Linked DNA regions of Mus musculus. The protein of the gene in region 1 purifies or fractionates together with the protein of each later gene. This does not show direct contact. Links are inferred from orthologs where the notes say so. Each region holds a gene or a part of one and is shown in the gene's direction. Other genes may lie near its edges. The genes, in order: Sf3b1, Zfp326, Ybx1, Ncbp1, Snrpa1, Srsf5 and Prpf40a.

The links.
Region 2: the proteins of Sf3b1 (region 1) and Zfp326 purify together in Homo sapiens (co-immunoprecipitation; 3 studies listed by BioGRID and IntAct, with this or other methods). This does not show direct contact. The link is inferred for Mus musculus from reciprocal best matches to the Homo sapiens genes SF3B1 and ZNF326.
Region 3: the proteins of Sf3b1 (region 1) and Ybx1 purify together in Homo sapiens (co-immunoprecipitation; 3 studies listed by BioGRID and IntAct, with this or other methods). This does not show direct contact. The link is inferred for Mus musculus from reciprocal best matches to the Homo sapiens genes SF3B1 and YBX1.
Region 4: the proteins of Sf3b1 (region 1) and Ncbp1 purify together in Homo sapiens (co-immunoprecipitation; 3 studies listed by BioGRID and IntAct, with this or other methods). This does not show direct contact. The link is inferred for Mus musculus from reciprocal best matches to the Homo sapiens genes SF3B1 and NCBP1.
Region 5: the proteins of Sf3b1 (region 1) and Snrpa1 purify together in Homo sapiens (affinity purification with mass spectrometry; 8 studies listed by BioGRID and IntAct, counting the BioPlex papers as one, with this or other methods). This does not show direct contact. The link is inferred for Mus musculus from reciprocal best matches to the Homo sapiens genes SF3B1 and SNRPA1.
Region 6: the proteins of Sf3b1 (region 1) and Srsf5 purify together in Homo sapiens (co-immunoprecipitation; 3 studies listed by BioGRID and IntAct, with this or other methods). This does not show direct contact. The link is inferred for Mus musculus from reciprocal best matches to the Homo sapiens genes SF3B1 and SRSF5.
Region 7: the proteins of Sf3b1 (region 1) and Prpf40a purify together in Homo sapiens (co-immunoprecipitation; 3 studies listed by BioGRID and IntAct, with this or other methods). This does not show direct contact. The link is inferred for Mus musculus from reciprocal best matches to the Homo sapiens genes SF3B1 and PRPF40A.

The regions. Positions count from the first base shown.
Region 1 is NC_000067.6:55,024,639-55,028,895, reverse strand, and holds the start of Sf3b1 (splicing factor 3B subunit 1), read left to right. Parts: upstream 1-1,417; 5' UTR 1,418-1,529; coding exon 1,530-1,557; intron 1,558-4,257. UniProt on the Homo sapiens protein: Component of the 17S U2 SnRNP complex of the spliceosome, a large ribonucleoprotein complex that removes introns from transcribed pre-mRNAs.
Region 2 is NC_000071.6:105,875,126-105,879,417, forward strand, and holds the start of Zfp326 (DBIRD complex subunit ZNF326), read left to right. Parts: upstream 1-1,442; 5' UTR 1,443-1,557; coding exon 1,558-1,573; intron 1,574-1,648; exon of another isoform or gene 1,649-2,106; intron 2,107-3,262; exon of another isoform or gene 3,263-3,395; intron 3,396-3,623; coding exon 3,624-3,668; intron 3,669-4,292. UniProt on the Homo sapiens protein: Core component of the DBIRD complex, a multiprotein complex that acts at the interface between core mRNP particles and RNA polymerase II (RNAPII) and integrates transcript elongation with the regulation of alternative splicing: the DBIRD complex affects local transcript elongation rates and alternative splicing of a large set of exons embedded in (A + T)-rich DNA regions.
Region 3 is NC_000070.6:119,277,479-119,281,040, reverse strand, and holds part of Ybx1 (Y-box-binding protein 1), read left to right. Parts: intron 1-1,829; coding exon of another isoform or gene 1,830-1,841; coding exon 1,842-2,076; 3' UTR 2,077-2,107; intron 2,108-2,673; 3' UTR 2,674-3,562. UniProt on the Homo sapiens protein: DNA- and RNA-binding protein involved in various processes, such as translational repression, RNA stabilization, mRNA splicing, DNA repair and transcription regulation.
Region 4 is NC_000070.6:46,137,217-46,141,365, forward strand, and holds the start of Ncbp1 (nuclear cap-binding protein subunit 1), read left to right. Parts: upstream 1-1,294; 5' UTR 1,295-1,636; coding exon 1,637-1,670; intron 1,671-4,149. UniProt on the Homo sapiens protein: Component of the cap-binding complex (CBC), which binds cotranscriptionally to the 5'-cap of pre-mRNAs and is involved in various processes such as pre-mRNA splicing, translation regulation, nonsense-mediated mRNA decay, RNA-mediated gene silencing (RNAi) by microRNAs (miRNAs) and mRNA export.
Region 5 is NC_000073.6:66,059,136-66,063,146, forward strand, and holds the start of Snrpa1 (U2 small nuclear ribonucleoprotein A'), read left to right. Parts: upstream 1-1,200; 5' UTR 1,201-1,475; coding exon 1,476-1,557; intron 1,558-2,988; coding exon 2,989-3,136; intron 3,137-4,011. UniProt on the Homo sapiens protein: Involved in pre-mRNA splicing as component of the spliceosome. Associated with sn-RNP U2, where it contributes to the binding of stem loop IV of U2 snRNA.
Region 6 is NC_000078.6:80,944,134-80,948,333, forward strand, and holds the start of Srsf5 (serine/arginine-rich splicing factor 5), read left to right. Parts: upstream 1-1,365; 5' UTR 1,366-1,539; exon of another isoform or gene 1,540-1,665; intron 1,666-2,442; 5' UTR 2,443-2,461; coding exon 2,462-2,587; intron 2,588-3,177; coding exon 3,178-3,248; intron 3,249-3,362; coding exon 3,363-3,461; intron 3,462-3,662; coding exon 3,663-3,732; intron 3,733-4,200. UniProt on the Homo sapiens protein: Plays a role in constitutive splicing and can modulate the selection of alternative splice sites.
Region 7 is NC_000068.7:53,188,431-53,192,635, reverse strand, and holds the start of Prpf40a (pre-mRNA-processing factor 40 homolog A), read left to right. Parts: upstream 1-1,403; coding exon 1,404-1,613; intron 1,614-2,535; coding exon 2,536-2,667; intron 2,668-4,108; exon of another isoform or gene 4,109-4,188; intron 4,189-4,205. Other genes in the region: Arl6ip6 (ADP-ribosylation factor-like protein 6-interacting protein 6), read right to left, coding at 114-513.

The DNA.
Region 1 (4,257 bases):
GAGAAAAATCTTTTTTGTTTTGTTTTTGTTTTTTGAGACAGGGTTTCTCTGTGTAGCCCTGTGGAACTCACTTTGTAGAACAGGCTGGCCTTGAACTCAGAAATCCGCCTGCCTCTGCCTCCTGAGTGCTGGGATTAAAGGCGTGCGCCACCACGCCCAGCATGAAAAAATCTTATTTTTATAAAAGAGGATTCACAAGACAATTCTGGGTGATCTTTTAGTGATGTTTATCATTACTCTGGAACTCCAGGAAGTATTTAGCTTCTACAATTACCACAAATGCAGCAAATGCTCCTTTGAATCTGTTATAGAAATGATAAGCCTTCCCAGTGAGAAAGCATCCTGCACATTTGGAGGATAATAAAGGAAAAAGGTCTGGCACAGCTGGCTCTGGCTAATGCTCGGTAGGGCCAGCCTTGAATACATTTTGATAACTTAGAGACACCTTAGGCTTATTTTCTCCAAATATGAGGTTATCCTCAAATTTGTAATTTAGGTCCCAACCCTGGGTTACATTTAGTACAACTTAAACAGAGACAGAAGGCTGAAAATCTGGTCAATAGGTCACTCCTATTTGCCTGGTCATTTAGGCATCAGTTATTGCCAGAATTATTTTAAGTGCACCAGTGTTGTACTTTTTCAAATAGTTGTTACCTGGGGTCATCTTACCCATTTGGCAGAATTATGTTTCTCTCAAGAAAAGAACTGGGCTTTATTGTAGATCAGGACTTAACATTGCTTGTGACCCTATACTATTCCCTTGAGCTGCCTGTTAAGAGAAGTATTCTACCGTATCTAATGGCTGGTCAATACTGGTGAACCAACATTAACATCTTAGGCATCATAAACTTTATTTCTAACAGGCCTGGCTAGCATACTGTTTATTTTTTGGGTGTCTTGGAGGCAGTGTTCCTTTGGCTAAATTCTATTTTGTGTAATTTAATCTCTCTCTCTCTCTACTTTTTATTTTTGTTTTTTTCGAGACAGGGTTTCTCTGTGTAGCCTTGGCTGTTCTGGAACTCACTCTGTAGACCAGGCTGGCCTCGAACTCAGAATCTGCCTGCCGCTGCCTCCCAAGTGCTGGGATTAAAGGGGTGCGCCACCACTGCCAGGCTCCTTTGGTTTTATTAAAGACAGGCTTTGTCTGTACAGCCCTGGCTTCGGGAACTCTCTTTGTAGACCAGGCTGGCCTCGAACTGCCTCTTCTCTTCCGAGTGCTTGAATTAACGGCACGTTACCCACCACTGGCCGGACAGGCTACAGCCCTCTTGGGAAGTAGCCATCCTCTTCCGCGTTTAGTCTTCCCCGCGGTTTCGCTGGCTTTTTAAGGAAGCCGCCGGGAGCCCGCCCTGGCCCCGCCCACTCCCATAATGCCCCTCGCAGTCTCATATAGGTGGCAGTTGAAGTACGTGCTACAGTGCGGCGCGCGCTCCCGGGTGCGCACGCTCAGAGAGCGGCCTCTGTTTCTGGCGGCGGCGAGCGGAAGTCCTTGGGAGCGCCAGTTCCGTCTGTGTGTTCGAGTGGACAAAATGGCGAAGATCGCCAAGACTCACGAAGGTAAGCGGCCTTTCCCTTCCCACGCGCGACCTCGGCAGCCAGCCAGCCGCGGCCCTCTCTCCTGGCTTTCTGCGTCTTCGCGTGGCATCTCTGGTCTCGACCGAGGCCGCGCGGCGAGGCCTGCTCGGCTCGTCGGCGCAGGCCGCTGCCCGCGTAATGGCGTCCTCTCGCACTCCGGGACCGGCGCTTTGTTCCGCGCTGGCTGTTGGTGCTTCCGAGTTCTCTTGTTCTGACCGGAGAGCCTCGCTCGAGCGGCTTGCCCCGGGGGACTCCCGGGGAGGGAGCGGGGAGGCGGACGTGGGAGGCCGACTTTCTCGCCCCCCGGGCGCTATCGTCGGCAGTTCGTACCTGGAAAGCCCTGAATGACGGCAGCCGCTTTCGGGCCGCTCCTAACGGAGGCCGCTTCAGCGCAGGCCTGCCAATCCCAGCCTTCGCGATACAGGCATCTCCAAGGCGGCTGGATCGTGTTGTGGTGCTTGCACTAAATGATTCCGGCAGAAAATCTGGTAGTTTACTCCTTTAATCACTTGTGTCCTGGTGTTCTATCTTTTTCCCTTTGAGAGCTAGGTGTTGGAGAATCAGGAGGAAGAGAGAAGGAAAGGCAGATTTGACCAGTTGCCAAAGTTTTCTGGGTAGTCGCTTATTTTATGCTGCACAAGAGTAAACAGAGCTAGAAACATGTTGAGAAGCAACCAGATTCCATAAGGAAAGTAACCAGAGAAGACGGGAAGGAATTTGAGTCTGAGAGACAGAATCCCTGTTTCTTGGCTCCCGGTTAAGAAGCCAAAATTTACGCTGACACTAAGTCACTAAACCCGTCCTTTCTAAGTGTGTGTCTCGGTGTTAGAGAGAGGTAACAAGCTAAGGATGTCAGAAATTTGACAGTTTGATGTGGAAGCAGATGTGTGAATATTCTCTTAGAAAATCAAAGGAATGTGTACAGAGAAGTAAAGCCAGTACTTTCTGAGAAGCTGGGTAACGGAGCCATTAATTTATGCTTAGTTATTTTTGGGAGGTGGTGACGCGGCGCTGATAAAAAAGGATCAATCAGTTTTAAATTAGGGGAGGATGTCTGAGCCGGAGGGAACATCTTGTACCATGCAGTGAGTGTCGCTGTGGTAGGATAGAGGAGGGTGTAAGGAGGGAATTCCGATGCGAATCTAAAGAGATGGTTTAGGACCAATAGCTGGGACATTTGAGGAACTGAAAATACTAACACTTTTGAAAGCCAGAAATGTCCCTGCATTAACTAGTCTTTTGTCTTTAAACATGAAAGTACAACACATGTTTTTGTTTTCTTTTTTGAGATAGTCTTACTATGTAATTCCGGTTGCCCTGAAACTTCCTGAATAGAGGAGACTGGGTCCCACTTCAAAGAAACTCATCCTCCTGCCTCTGCTTCCCAAGTGCTGGGTAAAAGGCCTGTGCCTGGTTAGCCCAACACTTTTTTTAAAAAAAAAGATTTATGTGAATACACTCTGTCACTGTCTTCAGACACACCAGAAGAGGGCGTCAGATCCTATTACAGATGGTTGTGAGCCATCTGTAATTGAATTGAACTGAGGACCTCTGGAAGAGCAGTCCAGCCCCTAGCCCAACACTTTTTAAAGCCAGAAATGTTTTTGGCCTCATTATTTATCTTTAGACTACTTCAGATATTGTTTGTAAAATAATTAGGAAATTGAATCGTGTCGCTGTTTTGTTCAGTCAGTGGTAGGTTATTTATTTTAATTGTTTTCCATTGTGGGGAACCAGTGAAATTATTGGACTTCCAGAGCATGGGGGAGGGGAAGTGCTTACTGAAGGAAAGCATGGTTTACTCCTTACTGGCTTCCTTATAGCTGCATAGGTAGAGTCCCATACCCTAATAGGTTATTGATTTATGGAGATTTATGGATATTTTGTAGCTTTGATTGTTGGCTTATTGATATCTTCAATGTAGCATACTCCCAGTTGGATAAATGCAAAGTTTATTTTATGTGCATTAATATTTTTGCCTGCATGTAACGTCTGTCTGAAGGTGTCAGATTCCCTGGAATTGGATTAAAGGACAGTTGTAAGATGCCACATGGGTGCTGGGAACTGAACCTAGGTCTTCTGGAAGAGCAGCCACTGCTCTCAGCTGCAGAGCCATCTTTCTGGCCCTGGTAAATGTAAAGTTTAGGGTCCTTTCCTCTTTCCTTTCCCCTTCCCTTCCCTTCCCTTCCCCCTCCCTCCTCCTTTCCTTTCCTTTTTCATTGTAGAAGCCCAGCTAAACTTGTTTTCAAAAATTGCAATTGCTTTTTTTTTTTTTTTTTTTTTGGTTTTCGAGACAGGGTTTCTCTGTGTAGCCCTGGCTGTCCTGGAACTCACTTTGTAGACCAGGCTGGCCTCGAGCTCAGAAAATCCGCCTGCCTCTGCCTTCCGAGTGCTGAGTTTCGATTTTTTTTTTGTAAAAATTGCTATTTTATTTAGGATTATTTTATTATTGAATTAATAAAAAATATTATAGAAGTATGTCACAATTTGGTATAAGGTCCCTCAGTATAAATCTTTATTGTCTTAGTCTTTTTTTGTTGTTGTGTTGTTGCTACGTTTGTTTGTTTTGAGACAGAGTTTCTCTCTGTAGCTCTGTCCTGGAATTTGCTCTGTTTATCAGTCTGGCCTAGAACTTTTTTTTTTTTTTTTAGACAATCTCTTCATGTAGTTTCAGCTGTTCTG
Region 2 (4,292 bases), on another chromosome or scaffold:
TTGGACAGATCTACTCAGAGCCTTAATGTGGGAATGACATGACCAGTTGGCATCGGACCCCATTACAGATGGCTGTGAATCTCTTTGTGGTTGTTGGGAATTGAACTCAAGACCTCTGTAGAAGAGCAGTCAGTGATCTTAACCACTGAGGCATCTCTCCAGCCCTGTATAAGCAAGAGTTTTGCAGGGAGACAGTGAGTATCCTAACTCAGGTAGTGGCCACGAAAATGGAAAGGGTGGGGCCGACCTAAGATATCTTAGGTGGGGTAAGCAGATACAAAAGTGTGTGGATTGGAAGTAGGAGGCTGAAAGAGCGGTGAGCTAGTCTCGAGTGGACTGGACCGAGTCAGCCTTCTGGCTGGGATTAGTGGGCGGTTTGCTCACCGCCCCGTGAACAGCCAAGAGAATACACGAGGATAAGCAGGTCTGAGAAGGGAAATTGTGAGTTCAGCTTTCAGCCCAGGTGAACAGAAAACATGTGTGGGAGGGGAGAAGAGAAGGAATTGGGAAAGGGTGGAGAACAGGATGAGTCAGGGAGGGTGGAGGAGGAAGAGATGAGCAGGAGGACACAAAGCCGTGCCCAGATTTGGGGCTACTGTGGTATACCTCCCTGTGCTTCCAGTTTTATTTCCGGCTTCCTCCGAACTGAGTCTAGCAAATTGAGTGCAAAGAATTGATGTCTGGCTTCCTATCTAGGTAACCAATTTGTTGTTAATGCCATTTGCTCTGTGAGGACAGAGAGAAAATTATTTAAAACTGTGGTTCAAGTCCACAAGAGTCTTCCCATAGTGTTCCTGAGTGAATACCTTTGCATCTGCTCCAACACAATTTTAAAAGTGGAATAATCTCTTCCTCCCCCTCCCTCCCTCTCCCCTTCGAGCTGAACGGTGGACTACTTTCTTCCTGCCAAATCTTTCCCATCTGTGAACTTTCACAGTTGCTTTACTACCTTCAACCCAGCAGTGGCTAGCAGCCTGTCTTGGGATAGTCTTATGATCCTGTCCTATTTGGCAATCAGGGTTCCTGTGCACGCCCCACACTTCTGTGTGTCAGAGGAAGGAACTCCATAAGTAGTGAAAAAAATCTCTCCTCCTCACTCCTTCAGCCAACAGTAGCCAAAGGTCGCCATGTCATTTAATGAGTTTCTGCAAGAGAAAGGCACTCCCTCCTGGACCCGGTTGCTCTTGCCAGGCTCCAACATGGCCGGCCAACCGGAGTCCTTCCAGAACATCCCTCTCCAGCCTTCCGCACTCCCGTTTCACCTTCCGTCCCCCGCGATCCCCAGGGTCAGGACCCAGGAGCCTGACAACTGCCTCGCTTCCCGCCCCCCTCGCGAGACCCGCCCACCACCCCGCGTCGGCCAATCGGAGGCGGTGCTGCGACGACTGGCAGGCCCGCCCGACCCCGCCCCCAGCCTCGCTGTGGCCTGCGGCTTCCCGGCTAGTAGCGCCGCTGTCGGTCGCGCGGGCCGGTCGTGTGGACACTGCCGTATCGCGGGCTCTTGCCGCGGGCCACAGCGAGCGCAGCGCGGAGACCGTCAGCCCCGCGGCGTCGAGCATGGACTTCGAGGACGGTGAGCGGCGCGCGGGGCGGGCCGCCGTGGCGGGCGGGCGGGAGGGAGGGCGGCGGGCGGCCTGCGCCGGGGGTCTGTTTACCGCCTCAAGATGGCCGTGTGGCTTTGTTCTGTGGGCCGCGCAGCGACCGCGGGCCCGGCCCGGAGCCCTGTGGTCCGGGAGCCCCACGTGGGGGTGCGGCCGGCCCGGGGCCCTGCTGTCTAGGGGGTCGGCCTAGCTGCGAGCCTCGGGGCCTCGTCCGCGGCCGCCTGCAACTTCCTGGCCTCGCCGAGCGGCGACCGGGCCCACGGGGCCCACGGGGCCCTCGGGGCAGCGACCCGGTGGCGGGTGGAGCCGGTCCTCACCGTGTCGCCCCGGGCTCTGGAATCTTGCTCGACACAGGCTGCCTCGGGCTCGTGCGATGCTTCTCCGTGTGAGAGGAGTATAAAGGGCGTCTCTAGGCGTTCCATCGAGATGGGCTTCGGTTCCCCCAGAACCAGAATCTGCAAGTTATTACCACGTAGCCGACCGAGCTGTCTAATATCTCACCCAGGTTACCTGCTAGTGAATACCGCGTCTGAAACAGCTCCGTGACCCAGTGCATTATCATTATTATTTTTGTTTTTAGGGGTGGTAGTGGTGGGGCTTGTGTATGAATGCTACCTAAGTTAGAATTCTGGCACAGCAAGCCCCAGATGCCCTTCACGTTCAGCTAGATCGGTGCACAGCAGCCCGTGTTGGACTTGCTGGTTAAATAAACCGAATTGTAACGTTGCTTTTCAGCTTTCCCTGGCCGTGAAGTACAGTTAATTTGGTATCTTCAAACCTTGCTCAACTTTTATAGGAATCAGTGTCAAGATAAAGTGATCAACAGTAGTGATAGTGTTAGGGAGCCGAGGAACAGTTTGTAGGATTAAACTGGGTGTAATCTCGAGGAACTAGGTATTTCTAAATAAAACCGGTTCATTTCTTGTGAAGGAAGCCTCTGCCTCCACCAGAAATGGGCTTTGACATTGAATGAGGTGTGCTTTTTTGGCGTAGGTCGTATTGCATGAGCTTTTGATTTTTGATTTGCTACAAGAGGTTGAGGCTGTCAAGTGTAAATATAGGAAAAAGAATCACCCTTTTCGGAGTACTTTTCGGTTGCTTTGAAATATAGTTCAGCTCTTCAGGATAGCATACCGTCCTGCTTGTGCTTCGGGGTTGGACAGTGACTCATTCTGATATAGGTGACTCTAAATTACTACTATGTGCACTAGTCAGAGTTGACATTGAAGAGAAAAAGTATGTTTTAGACCAAAGTTTGATGACACTACCAACCTATGTGGTGTGCCAGAAGTTAACCTTGTAGTGTGTGCAGAGTGGGAGGAGTCAGTCAGTAAGGAAATCCATTTTCTGTAGAGGATTGAAAAATAGCGGTCAGATTTGGAGTATTTGCTTTCATTATACTTATGATAAAAATAATGAACAATGTTAGAGATAAATAATCTCTTAACAGCCCATCCGTAGCCACCAATGCTGCAGTTGGGCTGTAGATTTGAGTGTATCTGACTCTGATCCTGTCATGTGCCAGGGTTCAGTTATATCTAGAAGCTCCATATTCAATTCCGTTCTTCCAGTCTTTATTTGTAGAGTTAAATAAAGGCTTTAACATTATGCCTGGATGGATACAGCCCACGCTCATACATATATGCATATGTGTTTTTTAGACAGGCTTCTAAAGTATTTAGAGAGAACAGATGAAGTGGTAAAACAAATACTGACCTTGAAACATTTGTATTCCACAAGACCAAGTTTCACATCCATCACCGTTTTTGAAAAATCGTTTTACCTTTGCTTTGTGTAAGTTAAATTAATACTGGGTCTCCTCTTTTGGCAGTTACAAATATGGACATTAAATAGTTTTTACATTGCCATTAGGCAGTGAAAGGGTGATGTGCTTCCTCAAGTGGATGCTTGTAATTATTTGCATCCCAGTTTTTTTGGTAATTAATTTAATGCCTGAGTAGATGAGAGTCTGGGCTTTTGCTCACATCACACTAACTCCTTGTTGTTTATGTGTCTTCGTAGATTACGTGCACTCTACTTGCAGGGGTGCTTACCAGGACTTTAACGGTGAGTGTCCTCTTGCATTTCCTTTTAATTTTGTTGAGGGGATATAGTTTGGTATTCTCTTCATATCTATAGAAACACAGGTATTAATGCAGGAAGCCTGCCCACTTTGTTTCAGATATTCTTCTCACTCTTGATTTATAAATCTCAGTGTTAATGTCATACTATATATCGTGTTTGTTTTTATGGTGTGTGTGTGTGTGTGTGTGTGTGAGAAAGTGTACATGTAGACTTTCTAGAAATCTCATAAATTCCATCCAATTATTCTGCCACAGTGATATCTCCAGTTCTGTGTATAATATTTGAACTTGGGGTCAGAACAAGAAGTTAGATTACTTGGACTTTGTATCTGTTTTATTTTACTTAGAATTCTTTTATTTATCTGTTACCACTTTCTCAGTGATTGATTTTCACGAAACTGGCTGAATTACTTTTGTTGACAAGACATTGATGTTCAGTTACATAGATTTAAGTAGATTTTTATCTTGGTTCTATGCAACTTTTGTTGTAAAATGTGTTGGCTTTGTTTTTGAGGCCATTTTTCTCTGACCATCAAAGGAAAACATAAAGAGCCTTGGATACTTGTTAACAAAAGCCTGATGTTGGCTTGTGATTAGCAGTAGTTGT
Region 3 (3,562 bases), on another chromosome or scaffold:
GTTCCCCACCCCACCCAGAATTTGGGATTGAATCCTCTGTCCACTTGTCCAAGTACCCTCCTGATTTTGACCCTCCCACCCCCAATTAGGTGTGTGTGGTGTGTTTGTGTGTATGTCAACATTTGTGATCTTTTAATCTTTTGTGTGTGTGTGTGTGTGTGTGGTTTTTTTGAGAAAGAAGGGAGAATGAGAATATTTAAGTTGCTTGAGCTGCCAGCTTCAAACGACCAGCCTTCCTGCCTGGCCTCTTGAGTAGCTAGAATCAAAGGCCTTTACCCTGGCACCCAGTGTGACCAGTGCTCTGTGTTGGTTTGATTTCTTTTTTTTTTTTTTTTTTTTTTTTAAGATTTATTTCTTTATTTCTTTATTACATGTAAAGTACACTGTAGCTGTCCTCAGACACTCCAGAAGAGGGAGTCAGATCTTGTTACGGATGGTTGTGAGCCACCATGTGGTTGCTGGGATTTGAACTCCTGACCTTCGGAAGAGCAGTCGGGTGCTCTTACCCACTGAGCCATCTCACCAGCCCTGATTTCATTTTTGAGGCAGTGTCTCACCTGGTAATTCTGACTGGCCCAGAACTCATAGAAATTGCTTGCCTCTGCCTCTTCGGGGCTGGCATTAAAAGGTGTGCGCCCTCATGCTTACTGCCCTGTGTGTTACTCATTTGTTTTGAGATCAAGCTTTTATGTAGCCCTGACTGTTCTGAAACTCTGTGCAGGCAAGATTGGCCTCAAAACTCAGATCCAGATCGCCTGCCTCTGCGTAATGTCCCGTGTTTTTAAGATTATTAGGGACCTTTTGATGGTTCATTATAGTTGGTTATATATTTCTTAGATTTATTTTATTTGCATGTTTTGTTTGCATGTATGTGTGCCTTAGTCAGAGGCATCAAATCCCTTGGTACTGATGTTAAGAACGAACAGGTAGTTGTGTATACTGATATCTTGGGCAAATATTTTTTGGTGTTTTTAGTTGTATGTCTGCCTTTTATAAAGATAGGTATTGATCCTTTCTGCTTTGATTTTTGTTTGTTCTATATATGTATGAACGCTTGCCTGCATGTGTCTGGTGCCCATGGAAGTCAGAGAGCTTGTGGGTTCCCCAGAAACTGGAGTTAGGGTTGATTGTGAGCCACCATGTGGGTGCTAGGAATCAAACATTGGTCCTCTGGAAACAAGTGTTCTTAACTATGGAGCCATTTCTCCGGCCCTTGAATTAGTTTTATGGTAGGTAACACATTGTGCAAGCTTTAAAGTTTGCACAAAGTAAAGGATTTTCTAACCATGCCACAAATTGGTCACTTCTCAGTTGATTGCTTGTCAGTTTAAGTGTTAACAGTAGTAAATGAAACATGGTGCTACTCATGTATAAGTACATGGTGAGAAAATACTAATTTTTTTGTTCATGAACAAATAGGAAATATTAAGACCCGTGGGAAGTATAGCTCCTTTTGATGGAAAGGGTACTGGTATCGGTAAAAAATTAGGTCAAGGATTTCAGTGTGTGTTAAATGGAAATGAGAGGTTTAAAAGTACATAGTACATAGAAGAATAGTTACTGGCAAGAAAAGTCCAGGCAGAGGGAACCAGCATGGTTCTGTTTCCAAGCATTTGAGCAGCTGATTCAGCTTTATTGATCTTGGTTAATATGAATGAATGAGAATCTACTTATACACTTGGCTTTTGAGAGTAACTTAGATTTTTTGCTAAGTAAGCTTGTCTGAAAGACCACTTGAATAAATGGTTGGTGCACCCAGGTACCAAATATTACTTGTGGTAAGGCTAAAGGAAGGAAAAAAGCTGTTACTGTTTTCTGAGATTATGTAGCATTCATTTCAGGGGCCCTCCTCGCCAAAGACAGCCTAGAGAGGATGGCAATGAAGAGGACAAAGAAAATCAAGGAGATGAGACCCAAGGTCAGCAGCCACCTCAACGTCGGTATCGCCGAAACTTCAATTACCGACGCAGACGCCCAGAGAACCCTAAACCACAAGATGGCAAAGAGACAAAAGCAGCCGATCCACCAGCTGAGAATTCGTCCGCTCCCGAGGCTGAGCAGGGCGGGGCTGAGTAAATGCCGGCTTACCATCTCTACCATCATCCGGGTAAGTAGGCACCCTTGGCTTCCACTGCACTGAGCTACGGTGCAAAGAAACTGGCAGTAATAGATTAAGATAAGACATTTTATTATAGTGTTGTGCACTCTAGCACAAATTAGACAAATGTACTTTTTTGATTATGAGCTGCCTACATTCTGAATCAATGATAATTTTGGCAGAAAGCTAAGCAAAGTCTTACTTCCTGTGCTCTGAAGACAGTGTTGTGAATTTGAAGGTTTGAAAAGTAACCTTGCCAGGTTTGGCAGTGCCCACCTTTAATCTCAGCACCCACACAGAAGGCAGGCAGATTTCTGAATTTGAAGCCAACCAGGAAATCTGAGGTCTGTCATGCCTAGTTTAGCTTAATTTGACTTTACTAGCGAGTAAGACTGTTTACCTGCTCTGGTTCTGGGGTTGCCATATTTTTCAATTAGTGTCCACTTCTCTTCTTGTAAATCATCCTTTAAGCTAAAGCCAAACAGTGGGTGAAATGTGGCTGCTAGAGTGCCAATTCTAGAGTGTGGTCCACGAGCTAGACTTCGGGATGGTAATTAAGAGTCTTTTCTTTGCAGTTTGGTCATCCAACAAGAAGAAATGAATATGAAATTCCAGCAATAAGAAATGAACAAAGATTGGAGCTGAAGACCTTAAGTGCTTGCTTTTTGCCCTCTGACCAGATAACATTAGAACTATCTGCATTATCTATGCAGCATGGGGTTTTTATTATTTTTACCTAAAGATGTCTCTTTTTGGTAATGACAAACGTGTTTTTTAAGAAAAAAAAAAAAAAGGCCTGGTTTTTCTCAATACACCTTTAACGGTTTTTAAATTGTTTCATATCTGGTCAAGTTGAGATTTTTAAGAACTTCATTTTTAATTTGTAATAAAGTTTACAACTTGATTTTTTCAAAAAAGTCAACAAACTGCAAGCACCTGTTAATAAAGGTCTTAAATAATAATGTCTAGTTTTGTCATAATTGAGTACTCTCTCCCACTTTTAGAATAACAGGTAACACCAGCAGTAAGCAGTCTGTCAGGAGTGCTGTGAGGCATCAGCTGTAGCCACGTGAGTGGGGTAGAGAAGCTTTGTGGGGCCGGGCTAGTCTGGGGTGTTTCCCTCTAGAGAAGCTCCAGGGCGAGCGCACTGGCATCGCACTAAAGAACTGCTGCTGAGTGGGGACTAATGGCTGCTAGTTGTCCGCCAAGTCCATCAACTTTTTAGGCCAATTCTTTGTAGTAGAAACTAATAGGAATTGATGAAAGACTTCAGCAGCCCTATTAACATAAACACACAGAGACATGTTAGTGTTAGCTCATACCAGTCATGGTGACTGCTGTAAATACTCTGCTGTCAAGAGCATAGTGAAAGAATTCCTGGGTAAGATTCACAGGTGTGAGTTTACCGATAACAGACAGTGTTGGTTAAAACCTAATGTTGGGGGCCGGGTGTGGTGGCGCACG
Region 4 (4,149 bases), on another chromosome or scaffold:
ACTCTTCCAAAGTCTTACTCTGGATAATCTGTCCTCAATAGCAAAGGATGAGTGATAATTTGTACCACTCGCCCTTTGCTATTAAGTCCGTCAGACTACAGTACCTGTGATCATTCCTGAGAGGGTCACTTAGGGCTTCAGTATCCTGAACACCGTCTCGTTGTCCCATGTACAGACGGTGACAAATGTTAATTAATACAATATAGTACTTGCTGAATGAAATAAAGCAAGAGTTGAGGAGTCAGAGAAATAACTCTGTAGGTCCCTGACAGTTAGTCATGTAAATTTCAGAGCAGAGACCAACAGATAAAGAAAATAAGTCTTGATTCCTAAAATGTGAACAAGCTGGACTTTAGCAGAAGAACATGGTGGTTTACACACAATGACGGGAACAGAACCCAAGAAGCCATAGTTTGGAATTCGCAGTGGAAATTCCTGGAAAGATGGATTGCTTGCATGTACGAATAAATAAATGAAAAGAATAGAAAAACGATAATCTTTAAAATAAACAAAGAGAAGTAGAGCCGGAAAGATGGCAAGATGGCTCACTGGTTAAGAGTGCTTACTGCTCTAGCAGAAGACCCGGGATTCAGCACCCCCACCCCGCTCCCGCGCACTCTCCTCCTTGCTCACAGAGAGTCTGAAACTCCAGTTCCAGGATGATGTACAGACTTACAAATACATAAAATATTGCTTTAAGTCTGTGAAGAGTTTTAAGCATAGTAAATAAGTTTGACTAGACTTGCTCTCAGAGTATAGCAGGCAGTGTTAGTGGATAAACTGTAACACAGGAAGTGAAGGAGCTAATGACTCCTCCCTAAATTCTTGGATTTAAGCAAACTACCGAAACGGCCATTTACTGTAACAGGTAAGACTGAAGGAAAAGTTTGGGCTAGACCATGGACAAGACAGTTTGGTGTCCATCACAGGGCAGAGGACGTCCACATACTGTACACGTGCAGAGGAATAGAACAATTGGAACCACACCGATCAGTAGCTGGGGCGTCCGTCAGCTGGGAGAAGTAGGCAGTAGGACTACAGTGAGCAGATTCAGCCGGACGGGCCTGGATTCCCTACCGCTGAAAGTGGCTTGCCCTCCTCCCCGCTCAGGTCTCCCGAGGCGTCTACAGCGGGATGGCGAGAGAGAAAGAGAGAACACCTACCCGCAAACCCTAGGCCTTTCCTGGGTCTCCCTTCACCAACTTGGCGCTGCTCCCCGCCCTCGAGCCCACGCCCCCCGGCGCGCGCGTGCGCAGAGAGTCCCTGAGCCGTCACCTTTCTCCGGAAGTCTCCTAAGTCGTCGGCGCAGGGGCCGCCGGGAAAATCCCGCCGGGCCTGTATAAAGCCGAGGCGGGATCGCTGCGGCCCGGATAATTTAGCTCGCTGTCCAGAAGGGCCCGGGGTGGAAAGCCGGAGGAGGCGGCCGCAATTGGACTTGCAGACGCCGGCCTTCCACTGCGGAGCCCATCCGGTGCCCCTCTGCACGCGCTTCCGGCAGGCGTCGTAAGCGAGTGCGCCTGCGCGCCGCTCAGTCCGCGCGCCTCGCCGCTGACCGCGCACCGGCCGGCCGGCAGCCCGACGGTTCTGGGGTTGCAGGCGGCTAGCAACTCAGATCGGCTGCGCACCAGCAAGCAGCATGTCGCGGAGGCGGCACAGCTACGAGAACGATGGTAAGTGCTCTCGGCCTGGCCACTGCGTCCGGGTGAGAACCGAGGCCGGGCTCGCCTTCAGTCTCCCGGGAACGGATAGGAATCCTTTCTCCCCGGGAGGGCTCGGGGAGCCCCAAAGGGAGGCTGCTGGCTCGGTTGTGGATAGTGGCTTCGGGAAAGCGACGGCCTCCCTGCTACCCCATCTCCTTCAGTCATGGGAAAGGAAGGCCTGGTGAATCCCGTGAGCAAATCCGACCTGGGGTCCCGCGACACTGAGGACTTAATCCCTCACTACTGATCATGGAAACCGCACGTGTGTCTGTCTGCTGCTGCCTCTTAGGATCACTTAGTGGAGGAGATATATCTAGTGGACCAGTGTTTTCCTTTTAGCCCTCCAGGGTGTACTTGGAAAGGACCCTGGGAAGACAGGAAAAGAACAAAGCTATGACAGAGGTCGGATGTATTGCAATCTGAGCCCTTCTCCTCCACCTGCCACCCGCTGATTCCCCTCTTTTAGGCTTCAAAAAAAGAATACCAACACCCCAGAGGTCACTAATAAACAGGCACGGGGTGTTTTGTTGGATTGGCTTTAAGCATATTTCCCTTATAAGAAAGTGCAGGAAAACCCGAGCAGATTATTAATTCTCATGTCAGTTTTGATGGTCGCCGGCAAGGACGTCGTTGTGTTGCCATAAATTTTGTTTTGTTGCACCATTATTGCCTTTCAAGAACACACTTGGAGCTGTTAGTGTTAGGTCCAAAGGGTTAAGGCAAGAAAAAACTTTAGAACCGAAGGGTTTAGGTTCGAAGCTCGACATCTCGATTATTTACTATGTGATCTTGTCAGGGTCATATGACTTCTTAAACCTAAGCGTGGACTGTGGATAATACTAAGCCATTTGGTTTCTACGGGGGGCTAAATGAGATATTGTGCTCACCAGTAGTTCATGATGATGTTTATTTTGTCAACTGCTAATGTCTCAGAGGTGATACACACAGATAAATGCTGACATCGTTGAGAAAAAAAGCCCTCCCTCCCCCAAGTTTAATTGGGTTAGCTTCCTCCCTTGGAATGTTAAGACAACCAAGCGAATCCCATATAGTGGAGCCCCAGGTTTCTGCCAGTAGTACCTGAGAGAATGTCCTAATACATCAGGAGTGCCGACTTGCTAAACAGTTTCCTAGCTTCTGTGCTTGCAGTGGAGTAGGAGGCAGTAGAACAGTGGAGGCTCCCTCCCCTGGGTTAAGACAAACCCCACAGCGGTATAGTGCAATTCGTTATAAGGTCACGGGGTTGTGGAGAATAATGTGAGGTAAAGGGTGTAGAGACCAAAGTGAGAGAGAAGCTGGTTAGGTAAGGCCTCCTTGCAGATGGCCTATGGCTTCAGTGATGTGAGGATGAGCCGTGTGGATGCTTGGAGGAAGCAGAGGTCCAAAGGAAACCGTGAGTTAAGGTTAGAACATTTCTGTCGTGTTAGAGAACAGACAGCAAGGAGGTCATTGTTGGTAGAAGAGAGAAAGTGAGGGTAGAAGTTGTGAGACCGGGGAGTTTAGATGAGCCTCTTACCTCACTGGGCCACTTGAACATTTCTGTTAGGACTATATGATTGGGGATTCACAGAGATACTACAAGGTTGCTAATCAATAAAGTTCCCGTAGTTTATTTAGAGTCACAGAAAGGGCTATGGTAAATGGAAAGTATCAAATCTAACTCAGTCTTAGACTCTTTTGTTTGTTTGTTTTTGAGACAGGGTCTTTATGTGGCTGTCTATGTATGTAGTCCTGGCTGTCTAGAACTATGCAATTCAGGCTGGAACGCCTGTTCCTATGTCCTGGCTAGATAGATCCCACTGACTGCCCTGCCTTACCCCAAGGGGAATACCATACTTGGCAGGCTTAGATTCCTTAACAGTATCTCTGAACTTCTTCAGTAATGTTGGATATACATTTTATCAGTGTGAAGTATATTGTCTTATTGTTAAGAAGGAATTTAGGCCCGGCGTGGTGGCGCACGCCTTTAATCCCAGCACTTGGGAGGCAGAGGCAGGCGGATTTCTGAATTTGAGGCCAGCCTGGTCTACAAAATGAGTTCCAGGACAGCCAGGACTACACAGAGAAGCCCTGTCTCGAAAACCCAAAAAAAAAAAAAAAAAAAAGAAGGAATTTAGATTGAATCTTAGTCAAAAGTCCAGATAGCCTATTCTACTTCCACTTAGGTCTTTATATTTTATTGTGGCTGATGTTTTTACACTTAACTGTATGAAAAGTTTGTTATACATAGGGACAATATACTTTGTTTCAGAAGTGATATTCTTCTACCATTTTAAATTCTAGTTTTAAGTTTGTAGAGTCAAAGTTACTTTTTTCTTTTATGGTGGTGTTTTTTGTCTACTTTGTTGATCTGAATTACAGTCTGATTCTAACAAGGGCATAGGAAACAGTACAATGTATCTTTGTAACATTCGGTTCCTATTGCAGGGAGAAAAGATCTGGTGTCTTG
Region 5 (4,011 bases), on another chromosome or scaffold:
CAGAGGACCAGAGTTCAGATCCCAGCAACCACGTGTAACCCCGACTTCAGAGTATCTGGCACCTCTGGCCTTTGTGGGTATCTGCACTCATGTGCCCAAAACCACAGAGATATAACAAATAATTTCTAAAAGTATTTTTAAGAGTGTTTTCTGCTCATGCTGAGGACCAGGGGTTGACTTCTAGCACACATGTCCAAAGGATCACAACGGCCAGCTCCAGGGAATTTTAGGCTGAAGCCTCCCCTGCACCTATACACAGGTGGGCATGTACATTAATTAGTAAGCTATGATTTAAAAAAAATACGCATATGATTTCGTGCATTTAAGGCTTGGCACTGTGAGAGGCCAGGGATGGTCACTAGTGAAGGTGCAGCCTCAGTTGGAGTTGATGGCCTAGGGCTGAAGGGGTCATCACGTATACACAGGTGGGCATGTACATTAATTAGTAAGCTATGATTTAAAAAAATATGCACATGATTTTGTGCATTTAAGCCTTTGGAGACAGAGGCCAAGGCTCTGCAGGTATATTGTATTCACTGTGGGGCACTCATCACATGGCAATTTCTGATATGTGTATTCCCCTGCACTTCGTATGAATTTTTTTGGTGTTGTTTGTTTGCTTGAGATAGAGTTTCTCTGTGTATCCCTGGTTGTTCTGGAACTGGCTCTGTAGGCGAGGATGGCCTCTATCTCCGAGATCCACCTCCTTCTGTCTCCAAACTGCTAGGATTAAAGGCATTCTCCATCACAGCTAGTCAATATGAATATCACTTATGGTTTATTTTATTTGTGTGTGTGTGTGTGTGTTTGCGGTTGCCGGTGTCTGAGGAGGCTAGAAATGGACGGCAAATCCCCTGAGGCTGAAGTTACAAGCAGTTGTCAGGTGTCCAGACGGATATTGGAATGCCAACTCAAGTCCGTTACAAAAGTTGCAAGTGCTCTTAACCTCTAAGCCACCTGACCAGCGCTTTGGTATGAACACCTAAATGTCTACAGGCTACAAGTTCACCCTCAAGCTTTAAGGTGACTGTACCAGGTCAGAAGGGTTCTGTTTTAAGGCAATCCAGCCTACGGGTCCTGCCCCTTACCTGCGGAAGCCCAAGTTAGACATTTAGGAACTTGACTTTCAGGAGACTTCACAGTCTCCGCCCCTTGTTGGGTGGAGAAGGGAGAGTAGTCCCAACTACCCCTCCCTTGAGGTTCACTGACGTGAGACAGAGCATCCCTCGCGTGTTCTTATCTTTTGGATTAAAAAAACTGGAATCTGGGCTCCCCACACTCCCAGGCACGCTCAAGCCCAGAACCCAGAAGCAAAGACACGGGGGCTACGTCTTCGATTGCTTTAGCCTGGCGGTCGAGCTGCGCGGGGATACGATTGGTGCTGTCTGGCGGCGAGGCGCGGTGCACTGTGGGACACGGCACTGGCGGGAGGCGCAGGCTGGTGTCGGAGGTGAGGGTCCGCGGGCTGCGACAGGATGGTGAAGCTGACGGCGGAGCTGATCGAGCAGGCGGCGCAGTACACAAATGCCGTACGGGACCGTGAACTGGACCTCCGGGGTGAGTTAGACGGAGCGCGGGCTGTGTTCCGGCCCCGGCGCGTGGCTGCGGGAAACCAGCCCCGCCGCGTGCGCAGAGGCTGGAGCCTGGCCCGTGGGCCTCCACCCGGGCTGGGCGCCTCCGATCCACCGTCCCGCAGGGCCCTTTGGGGCTGTTTGTTACCGGCGTTCCGGCTAGCAAACACGGCGCCTCGATTCCTTCCCCGGACCGTACTCACTAGGCATTGCCCCGCTCATCGAGCAGCTTTAACTGTTGGAGGACTAGGAAAATAGAAAACGCTACGGACAGGCCGGCTGCTGGCTGGTGTTTTTTGTTTGTTTGTTTGTTTGTTTGTTTGTTTGTTTTTTAGCAAAAGCGTTAATGTGGCACCTGAGGGTAGGGTGGATATGTACCAGAGTTACCTTAATTGCCCCAATAATTCCGGTTTGGTTTTGTTCATTTGTTTTTGAGACAACGTCTCGTGTATTCCGAGCTGACTTCAAACCGTTATATAGTTAAGGTTTATCTCGAACTTCGGACCCTCTTGCCTCCACTTCCTGGGAGCTGGGTTTAAATGCCTGCACCACGTTTATATGGTGCTTTGGATGAGCCCAGGGTTTCATGTCTGTCAGGAAAGCACTCGCGCTACTGAGCCAGACCCGCAGCCCCGGATAATTTGGTGTTTTCAAGATTGAGCTGTTTGACCGTGGCATAATGGTCACTTCTGTGTGTGGGGTGGCGGAACTCACCTGTTCAGTTCTGACAGAAGTAGCACTTGATTTTTAAAACATAGAACTGAGAGGTAATCGTTAACTATTCAGGAGATGGCTTTGGAAGGGGTTAAGATTATAAGACTGTGACCAGAGGCAATCAAAGTCTCGGGGGCGCTGTGCACTGCCATTTTTGAAAGTTTCTTCCTGCCTATGGGAAATCCTAGTGTTCTTTGTGTTTGTTGAATGAAATTAACTTTCTTGGAGAAAAGTCCGGTTCAGGAGCATCTGGGTCCTTTCACTGTCTTGGCACAGTTTTGATGTCTGCTGTCTCTCTGAAAACCGTGCAGTCTGGAGAATGCTTATTCTGCTACCATATCTTTTATTGCACTCCTTCACAGCTGGGTTGTGTCCTTCCTTATAGTACCTAGCTCAGTGACGAATGTGAATACCTCATAGACGTTCTTAATAAACCATGGGCACCAATACTAGTAAATATGCCCATCTGTTCTTCCTCTTGCCTTCAGCCTCTTCAGTTTTACTTCAAGCTTTGTAGCACTAAGGCCTCCACTTAACCCTTTCGTCATTTACCTTATTTTTGTTCAGTGCACGGCATGGTGCTAGTGCCTGGTTAATACTTCCCGAATGGGAGCGCTGAGTCAAATTCCATCACATACTCCTGCGATTTTCAGGACTTTTCATTTATATTAATATTTGTTGTATGTATGTTTTCCCTCTACAGGATATAAAATTCCGGTTATTGAGAATCTGGGTGCCACCTTAGACCAGTTTGATGCTATTGATTTTTCTGACAATGAGATCCGGAAACTGGACGGTTTCCCTTTGTTGAGAAGACTGAAAACATTATTAGTGAACAACAACAGAATTTGGTGAGTGACTGCTAGTGAGAATACTTTCTTCCCTTAAGTAAGTGTTCTAATGTACCCTGAAGATAATGGGGTTTTGGTTGTTGTTTTGTTTTGTTTTAATGTATATTAGTTTTTTGCTTGCAGGTACCACACACCCTCCTAGTGCCTCTGGAGGCCAGAGGAGGGCCTTGGCTTCTCTGGAGCTAGGTTTACAGATAGTCCTGAGCTGCTCCAGCTGTAGGAATAGAATCTGGGTCCTCTGGAAGATCAGCCAGGGCTCTAAGTTGCTGAGCCACCACTCCAGCCTGCCCATGTGTCTTAAAGGGAGAAATGAATAGAGCCCTTTTCCTAAGAGGTTGGAGATTAACTTGGGCATTGGCCTGACCTTACTTGCTACTCTTCAGAAATCTTTAATATTCGTAACTGACATTAAACTTTGAATTTGAAGCATTGTGCTATGTCAACAAATCAGATTTTAGAGTAGTCATCAATAGCATCATAATTAAAAAGATTTATAAAGGCCATGTGTAGTGGTATCTGCCTTTAATCCTAACACTCTGGAGTCTGAGGCAGGCTGATCTCTGAGTTCAAGGACAGCCTTGTTGACAGCAAATTCCAGCCAGGGCTACATAGTGAGACCCTGTCACAGTAAAAATCTTTTTATGAAATAAAGTTACTTTTCACTGAGTACCTATACCTCATCCACTATGCTGGTTTTGGTTTTTGTAGTTGGTTTCTACAATATAATTCTGTGAAATTAAGATCATATTTGTTTGTATGAGTGGGGTTTCTCTGTGAGCCCTGGCTGTCCTGGAACTCACTCTGTAGACCAGGCTGGCCTCAAACTCAGAGATCTGCCTCCCTTTGCCTTCTGAGTGCTAGGATCAAAGGCGTGC
Region 6 (4,200 bases), on another chromosome or scaffold:
TACATCTCAAAATCTAGATGATGCCTTAGGTTACAGATAAAAATATTAAAGAGAAGTAGCCTTTTTCACAACAACAACAGTCTTTATTGTCAATGTTTCTAGACCTCCCAACCTCACTGGGGAAGGCTGGATAGAGTTACCGATGTGGACTGCTGTGTATTACATCCATGCTGGAAGCATAAACTCTATTTCTCAATAACTGTTGATTTCGACTCTTTTTTTTTTTTTTTTTTTTTTTTGGTTCTTTGACTCAGGGTTTTCCTGGCTGTCTTGGACTTTGTAGATAAGGTAGGCCTGGAACTCACAGAGATGATTAAAGGCTGAAGCTACCACCGTCCACCTAACTATTGAGATTGAGACCTGGACAGAAAGGAATGGACAATGGCCAGTTGGATTTAGAAACAACTTGAAATCTTTCCCAGCTAGCTGAGCCAAGATTGGCCCTAGGGATTCAATATATAGGAGCGTTTTTTGTTTTTTTTTTTTTTACCCACAGTACCAATTTCATTATTTCACCACGTGAAATCTCTCCTTTAGTAGAAAACAATTCAGTTCCTTAGGCTGATCAGAACAAAAACCACAACACTGAAAGAATTCACTTACTTGAGCCTCAGAGAACCCTCTCTCTCTCTCTTTTTTCCGAGGCAGGATTTCTCTGTGTAGACCAGGCTGTCCTGGAACTCACTCTGTAGACCAGGCTGGCCTTGAACTCAGAAATCCTCCTGCCTCTGCCTCCCAAGTGCTAGGATTAAAGGCGTGTGCCACCACGCCCGGCTAAGAACCCTCTCTTGAAGGACATTGATAAGTACAATTTGCAGAAGAGGCTAAAGAGAGAAAGAAAGAAAGAAAGAAAGAAAGAAAGAAAGAAAGGAAGGAAGGAAGGAAGGAAGGAAGAAAGAAAGAAAGAAAGAAAGAAAGAAAGAAAGAAAGAAAGAAAGAAAGAAAGAAAGAAAGAAAGAAAGAATTGGACCTGGTGCTCGGGCCAATAATCCTATCACACTGAAGGCGGACCGGCTGGATCGCTGAGCTCAAGGCTAGCCAGGACTGCTTAGCGAGACCGACTATGTAAATGAATTTTTAAAAGAAACAGGTGATTTTTGAAAAGCCTGGGTTTCTTGGTAATCTTCGAGGGACCTAAGAAAAAGTTTAAATACATCTTTTCGTATCCAAAGAAGTGTCCCGGTGTATCCTGCCAACTGAACGAACGTTTCTAGTCCTCCCACCACCCACTGCTCTCGCCAGGGGTCGCGGTAAGGAAGCCCCGCCCTACTAGAACTTCCGGCTCCCAGGAACCGTCTGTCCTCAGCTCCAAGTGGGCGGTCCCCGAGCTTCTGGCACCGCCCCGGAAGTGACGCCAGGACGTCCCTTCCATTTTGTGCAACGTCCGAGCTGCTAAGTGCGTCAGTTGTGGAGAGACTGTAGACGAGTTGGGTTCGTGTGTATGTGTGTTGTGTGTGTGTTTGTGTAGGGAGGCAGACAGCTCCGTCGCAGACTACGGACCTCTCCGGGGTCTCAGCCGCCAAAGACCCTGTCCGGTAGGTGAGTGGCACGCTTTGAGGGCAAGGCTTCTCGGATCGAGGCTTCTTCATGGCCGCTCGGGTCGCAAGTGGCCGGGGCTTCGCTCTTTGCGGAGGACGGCGACTCAGAGAGCGCAGTTGATTTGAGGTGGGCGCTGGGGCACGTCTCCCTGTGGGTGTTGCGTGAGGGGGACACGAGGCGGAAGGGCGGGCGTGGGGAGGGCGTTTGTGTCGGGAAGCAGCGCGCCCCTCCCTGCCGCCCTTAATGGCTCTCATCGAGGCCCGGACGCCGGGGAGCCGGCCTGGCCCAGGGCAGCTTAGGGTTTCCCCCCGTGGGCCGGCGCAGGCGCAGCGCTCTGGGCCCCGGGCTTGCCCGTGTCTCGGGGGCACGCAGCTCGGCTCGCTACGCTCCTCCCCCCCCCACACCCCGCCGCATACTTCGGCCGTCGCCATTTTGTGCTGCGAACGCGCCCCGTCGCCCACTGCGCAGGCTCGGTGGTGGCGTCGCGAGATTCCGGCTTGTGACGCGCGGGGAGGCCGCGACGCGGGCGCGGCCGGCTGCTATTGGACCAGGCCTGGCAGAGGGCGGGCTCGGCTCCGCCCGCATTTCTCGGCCTGGCCTTAACTGCGGCAGATGGGAGGGGAACCCCGGGATCCGGGGACAGCGTGTGCGGCTGCGCAGTCTAGAAAGGTGGCTACTGGCGTTGTGGTGGGCTGCCGTGTGGAACCTGGGAAGGGGGTCTTTTGGAGAGTTAAGTTTTAACTTGGAATTTGAATGTGGTGGTCGTGAACGACTTAAAAGGTACATGGCGACCTTGTTAGTAGAGTTGGTAAACGTGGGGTGTGTTTGACTGCTTGACTGAACATCCCCCACCCCCATGGTGTCAATCGTTGATATTGTCTCGATTCAATTACTGCCTAACAGGAAACACTAGCCGGGCATCATGAGTGGCTGTCGAGTGTTCATTGGGAGACTAAATCCAGCAGCGAGGGAGAAAGATGTGGAAAGATTCTTCAAGGGTTACGGACGGATCCGAGATATTGACTTGAAAAGAGGTTTTGGTTTTGTGGTAAGTACTTGAAACTGAGTTGAATTATCTGTCGAGAAGTTAGGTAACTTTGTGGTGGTGACACATGCCTTTGGTCTCTGGCCCTTGGGAGGCAGGGGCAAGCCAATCCACAGAGAAACCCTGTCTCCAAAAAAAGAAAAAAAAAAAAAACAAAGTGGGTAGAGCTCTTGTGATGAGCATGGACTCTGAGTCCATGTGAATTGTTTTCCCAGAAAGATGTTAGAAGTGGCCAAGAAGCAGTGGCTTCTGTTAAGAAGTTAAAGTAACTGCTGGCTGGAGTTGATTCTCAGTCATCCCTAGCTTAGGGTTATAGTATCTGAGTGTAAGGTATATCTTAACACTTCCATGATTTTTTTTTTAAATTTATTTTTTATTTTTTTGGTTTTTCGAGACAGGGCTTCTCTGTATAGCTCTGGCTGTCCTGGAACTCACTTTGTAGACCAGGCTGGCCTCGAACTCAGGAATCTGTCTGCCTCCCGAGTGCTGGGATTAAATTAAAGGCGTGCGCCACCACGCTCGGCTTCCATGATCTTAATGTGCTGTAGAATGCATGCACGTCCAAAAGCTCTACTCTTACTGCTACATTTTAGGAATTTGAGGACCCAAGGGATGCAGATGATGCTGTTTATGAACTTGATGGGAAGGAACTTTGCAGTGAAAGGTAAGCATGATTGGTTTATAAGTAGTTCTCCCAGGGAAGTAGAGCAGAGTAGACATTTGCATATGTAAGTGCTCTCATGTGTAGTGTGTGAATGCTTTTTTTACCTCTTTGTAGGGTGACGATTGAACATGCCCGGGCTCGGTCTCGAGGTGGAAGAGGTAGAGGACGATACTCCGACCGTTTTAGCAGTCGCAGACCTCGAAATGATAGACGGTATGTGGTTTGGGTTTGGCTGTTACGGTTGGGTTAGGGTCCGTTAGCATTAAATGGTTCTCAGACTAGTTAAGTCTAGTTAGTCCACATGCTGAGAACCCAGAAACTTGATGGAATCACTATCTTGGCTTAAACTTGTCACATAGCATTTGACATTGTGACATAACATCTGACACTGAATGCTTATTTTTCTTTCTTCAGAAATGCTCCACCTGTAAGAACAGAAAATCGACTTATAGTTGAGAATTTATCCTCAAGAGTCAGCTGGCAGGTTTGTTGAAATACAGTTTTGAGATATTTTTTAATGTGGCATTTAAAAGTGTTAATGGGTAGTTAATGTTTTATTAATATATATCTTATTAAATGCTTTATCTTAAATTAATTTAATTGAACTATAATTTTAAACTTTAGTTAAATGTAACTGGGGGATGTTTCAGATTTTAATATTAGTGATCAAATGTAAATGTTTTGAGGTTATTTTTTCATGTTTTTTAAAATCAATTTTAACCAAATATTAAACCCTTTATTTGCCAGCCTATCTGTGTCGTTGGCCTTATGACGAGGAGTGCCTGTGGGTTATCCTAATCGTTGTCTTGGTCACTCTTGGTTGGGCCTGGTTGACTTTGCCAGTCAGCTCCTACAGTGATCAGTTGGCCACCTCTAGATCTGTGTTTGCCGGTCTAGACGTAATCGGTGCACTTACTTGAAGTGCCGGGTTGCAGCGATCCCAGAACCGTTG
Region 7 (4,205 bases), on another chromosome or scaffold:
AGGGACGATAGCAGTCTCGAGGGAACGCTTTGGGAGGAGAGTGTGAATGGGGGCGTGTGATGTACTGGCTGCACTTTACGCTGGACAGCCTTTCAAGGCCTGGGCTTCAATACCTTTAACGATCATGTAGGCGATGGCGAGAAGGAAAGCAAGGAGGACGGCGAACAGCAGCGAACAGAGAATGGAAAGGGCTTGGATGGGCCACCGCCGAGCCTGGGTTCGCTTGGCCGCAGTGGCCGGGAAGATGCCGTTGCGCTTATCCGGCAGGACCGGAGACCCGTCCCCGACCCGGGGGAGTAGCGGGGCCCTCTTGGTCTCCGACGACGCCCTGGCTGAGAACTCTGCCCGCAAGTCGCGGGCCACTTGGTCGCATCCCTCGTCTTCGTCGCCTTCGCCCTCACCCCAGCTGTCCCCCTGAGTGTAGTCGGAATACCCGGGCCGAGTCGCAGGGCCTGGGGTAACCTGACGGCGCCTCCGCGCGCCCGCAAACCTCCAACTCTCCACGAACGACATGGCGGGAAAGACTGAGAGTCCCGCGAAGGTCGGCTGTCCACCACCGCCACGCCCCGCCCCGGCTACAGCCAATCAGAGACGGCCGTCGGCGGACCCAACCACCGCGCGCAGAACCGTAGGGGAGTGCAAGAGCGGGTTACCCGGGGACTCCGCTTCCGGAGGCGCCGTGGGAGCGCGCGCCCATGGCCCGCCGCGACAACACTCTCATTTATTCCACCCTTTCGGGTCCTGTGGGCACGCACCTCTCGAGCCCCATGACCGCAGTTCCGCGCCTTCCTAACCGCCAGTCGCTTCCTCCCTCGGGCGAGAGATCTCTGTCTTTACCGCTCCCCGCCAGATACAGTTCGCGCCTCCGCCCTTCACTATGCCGGGCGCGCGCGCAGCTCTCGAGTTTCTCCCCCCCACCCCCAAAGGCACGACCCCCTCCCCAGGGCAACCGCGCGCGCGCGCACTAGGCCGCTAACGCCGGGTGCCGCTTCCCCCGCCCCACCCCCACCCCACCCCTGGTGGCCTCAGGTTTGTGGGGCGAACGTAACTAGGGCGAGGGGCTGGACGCCACTGCCCCACCCCCCGACGGGGTGCGGTGGCCCGAACCCGGGAATCTGGGTCCCCGCCGTGTCCCCTTTCCTGGGGGAAGTTGGTAGAGTTTCCCCGGCAGAGCACTCGACGCAGAAACTTCCTCCGTCCCCCCTCCCCCCCCCTCCATGCAGGCGACGCCGAGCGAGGCAGGGGGCGAATCGCCGCAGAGCTGCCTGTCGGTCTCGCGCTCTGATTGGACAGTAGGGAAGCCTGTCAGTTTATTGGCCCCGCTGATCCCGCCCCGCAGCTCAGGGCAGCCTTTACCCTTTGGCCCCGGCGGGCGCCAGCCACTCAGATCGCTTCTTGTTGGTATGTGCAGCGGCAGTGGCCGCCGACGGAGCAGTCTGAGCCCGACGATGAGGCCGGGGACTGGAGCCGAGCGTGGAGGCCTCATGGTGAGTGAAATGGAGAGCCAACCTCCCTCGCGGGGTCCCGGGGACGGGGAGCGGAGATTGTCCGGCTCAAACCTGTGCTCCAGTTCTTGGGTCTCTGCTGACGGCTTCCTGAGGAGACGGCCCTCGGTAAGGGATCGGCGGGGTAGGGGAAAGCGGCACAATGAAAAACCGAGTCAGAGAAACAGGAAGCTCTCTCCAAACGGAGAAGAGCATATCAGGAAGAGAGCTGCAGATGGTGGGCTACGTCCCAAGGGGGAGAGATGGAGGGCGGGAACACACAAAGAAATAGGTGGGACCTTGGACTTGCCAGTGGTCTTGGCCTAGGTAGATAGATGCCTTAGGAAGAAGGAAGGTGCTGGGCCCCGGGCGGACTGTGCATCTGAGAGCCCCAGGCTTGACTTACAGTAGGGACACTTAAGTCTGTGGGACTTAAGGAGCGGCTGCTGCGGTCTTATTTCTCCGGGAGTGGTGGTGATTTGCAGGGCTTGGGGGATTCGGTTGGGAGAATTGGCTGCGGATACTTAGTTTCAAGCCAGGAACAATGGAAGTATTATATTTTAAGCTCCCTAAAACGGCATGAATTTGTTAGTGTCTGGGACAGTTTAACTCTATTAAAACATTTGTGAAGTACTCTTGGGTACCCGCACTCTGTTTTAGGTCTTGTCCATATGAATGTAATTTTAAGTAGTATAAGCTGGTTATGTGTATAAAGGTGACGGAAGTTGTGTTCATCGTAATAATTTTTTAAGTTGGAATTCAATACATAGTCACCAAGTCTGACCAGTCATTTAACAGTTTGTTAAGTCATTGGAGAGGGGTTGTAATCCGCTAATGGGTTTAACTTTTCCATTATTTTGTAAATTTTCAGGCCCCATCTAATAATCACTGTAGTGTAATTAAGATTAACTTCAGTATATGCTAATACTGTAATTTAATCACAGTGATTTAATATTGTGCCTTAATTGATGGGTTTTAGTTGTTGTTTTTGAAATGACATTTTAAAGAAGCATTTAACTGTCTCTCACTCTCCCTTTTTATTATTTTTCAGATGGGGCATCCTGGCATGCATTATGCACCAATGGGCATGCACCCTATGGGTCAGAGAGCAAACATGCCTCCTGTACCTCATGGAATGATGCCACAGATGATGCCCCCTATGGGAGGGCCTCCAATGGGACAAGTAAGAAGACGCTTTCCCTTTGGCTTGCTTAGTTTTGTTTGAGTGTGTCGAGATGTATTTAAGATGTAAGTCAGTGGTGTACTTGCAGCCCTTTAAAGGTTAGTTTATATCCACGTAATGTCTTCAAACAAGACAAAACATTACATTGCTCATGTCTGTAACCAAATTTTGAATGTAGTAAGACTGTATGAGAAAAAATTAACTGACTTCCTCAACAAAATTAAGCTTTAAAAAAAATAAGCCGGCTGTGGTGGCGCACGCCTTTGATCCCAGCACTTGGGAGGCAGTGGCAGTTAGATCTCTGAGTTCAAGGCCAGCCTGGATCTATAGACTGAGTTCCAAGACAGAGAAACCCTATCTGGAAAACCAAGCAAATAATTTAAAGTGAGAGTATACATCTAATCTATTTAACTTAGTGACTTTATTTCAGGCATTATAATTATTAATGGTCTAGGAGTAAATATATATCAGAAGATAATCGTGGTGAATGTGTAAAGCCTAGCATCAGAAAAATAGTAGTTACTTGGGGTTTTCATGTAGAATGAATTTTATTCTTGGAGTATCTTCCTCTTGTTTGGGGTGCGGAGGGATTTTCTGCTCTATTACTAATTCTTTCCTGGACAGTGCCAAATAGGTAGCTCATTTTCTACTTAATTTTTGAATGATAATTGCTTCTATACTCCTACTTGTGCGTTGCCCCTTGAATCTCTAGCACAAATCGTAAATGGACGTTTTTTCGTAGGAGTGATTGGATTAAAAGGTTTTAAGATGACTCAGGAACACGGGTAGAATTTCTAGAGAAGTGGTCAAGAAAGACAAGAGCTTGAGGTGCATCAACAGTTCTGTCCTATGCTAGGTTCTATATAATACACTGATTCTTAGGTGGGCTGGGTTATTCCAGTTGAATATCTTGATAAGTCATGAAATTTTTGATTAGCAGAATATTTTAGAAAGCCAGTTGTATATTTTCTTTTGCTAATGAGTACTATTGAGTTTGACGATGGTTTGAGCAATGAAGGCTAAAGTTACTGGTGAAATTACAGGGGGAAACAGGAACTTGTGTTTTTTTGTTTGTTTGCTTTTTTTATTTTAAAGAGTAGAATGGCTCAGTGTTAAGTGGTTTTCTTTTATATTTGGAATATAGCCCTTAATTTTGGATAAGAAAATTGTATTCAAAGGCACCAAACTGAAAAGATTCTGCCTGCAGGAGTTCCTTATAGAAAAGATTCTTTTGCTCTGTTACTCTCGAATAATAATACTTTAAAACTCCCTAGGATATGCAGAGACAACTCTTGATTCTTTTTCTGTATCTTTCCATCTCTAAGCAGCACAAAACCCTTCTTGTTTTCTTGGTAGAGCTGCTCTAACTAGATAATGAGCTTTAAAAAATATTTATTCTCTAATGCTCTGGTTCTTATTTAAAATTAGTTTCTTTCCACAGAAAGATAAAATAAAACAATTTGCTACTGCCAGACGCTTCTCTCTTTTCTGGGGCCTTCTGTGTCCATTGGGCCAGGCAAGGTAAGTTTGCAAGGGGT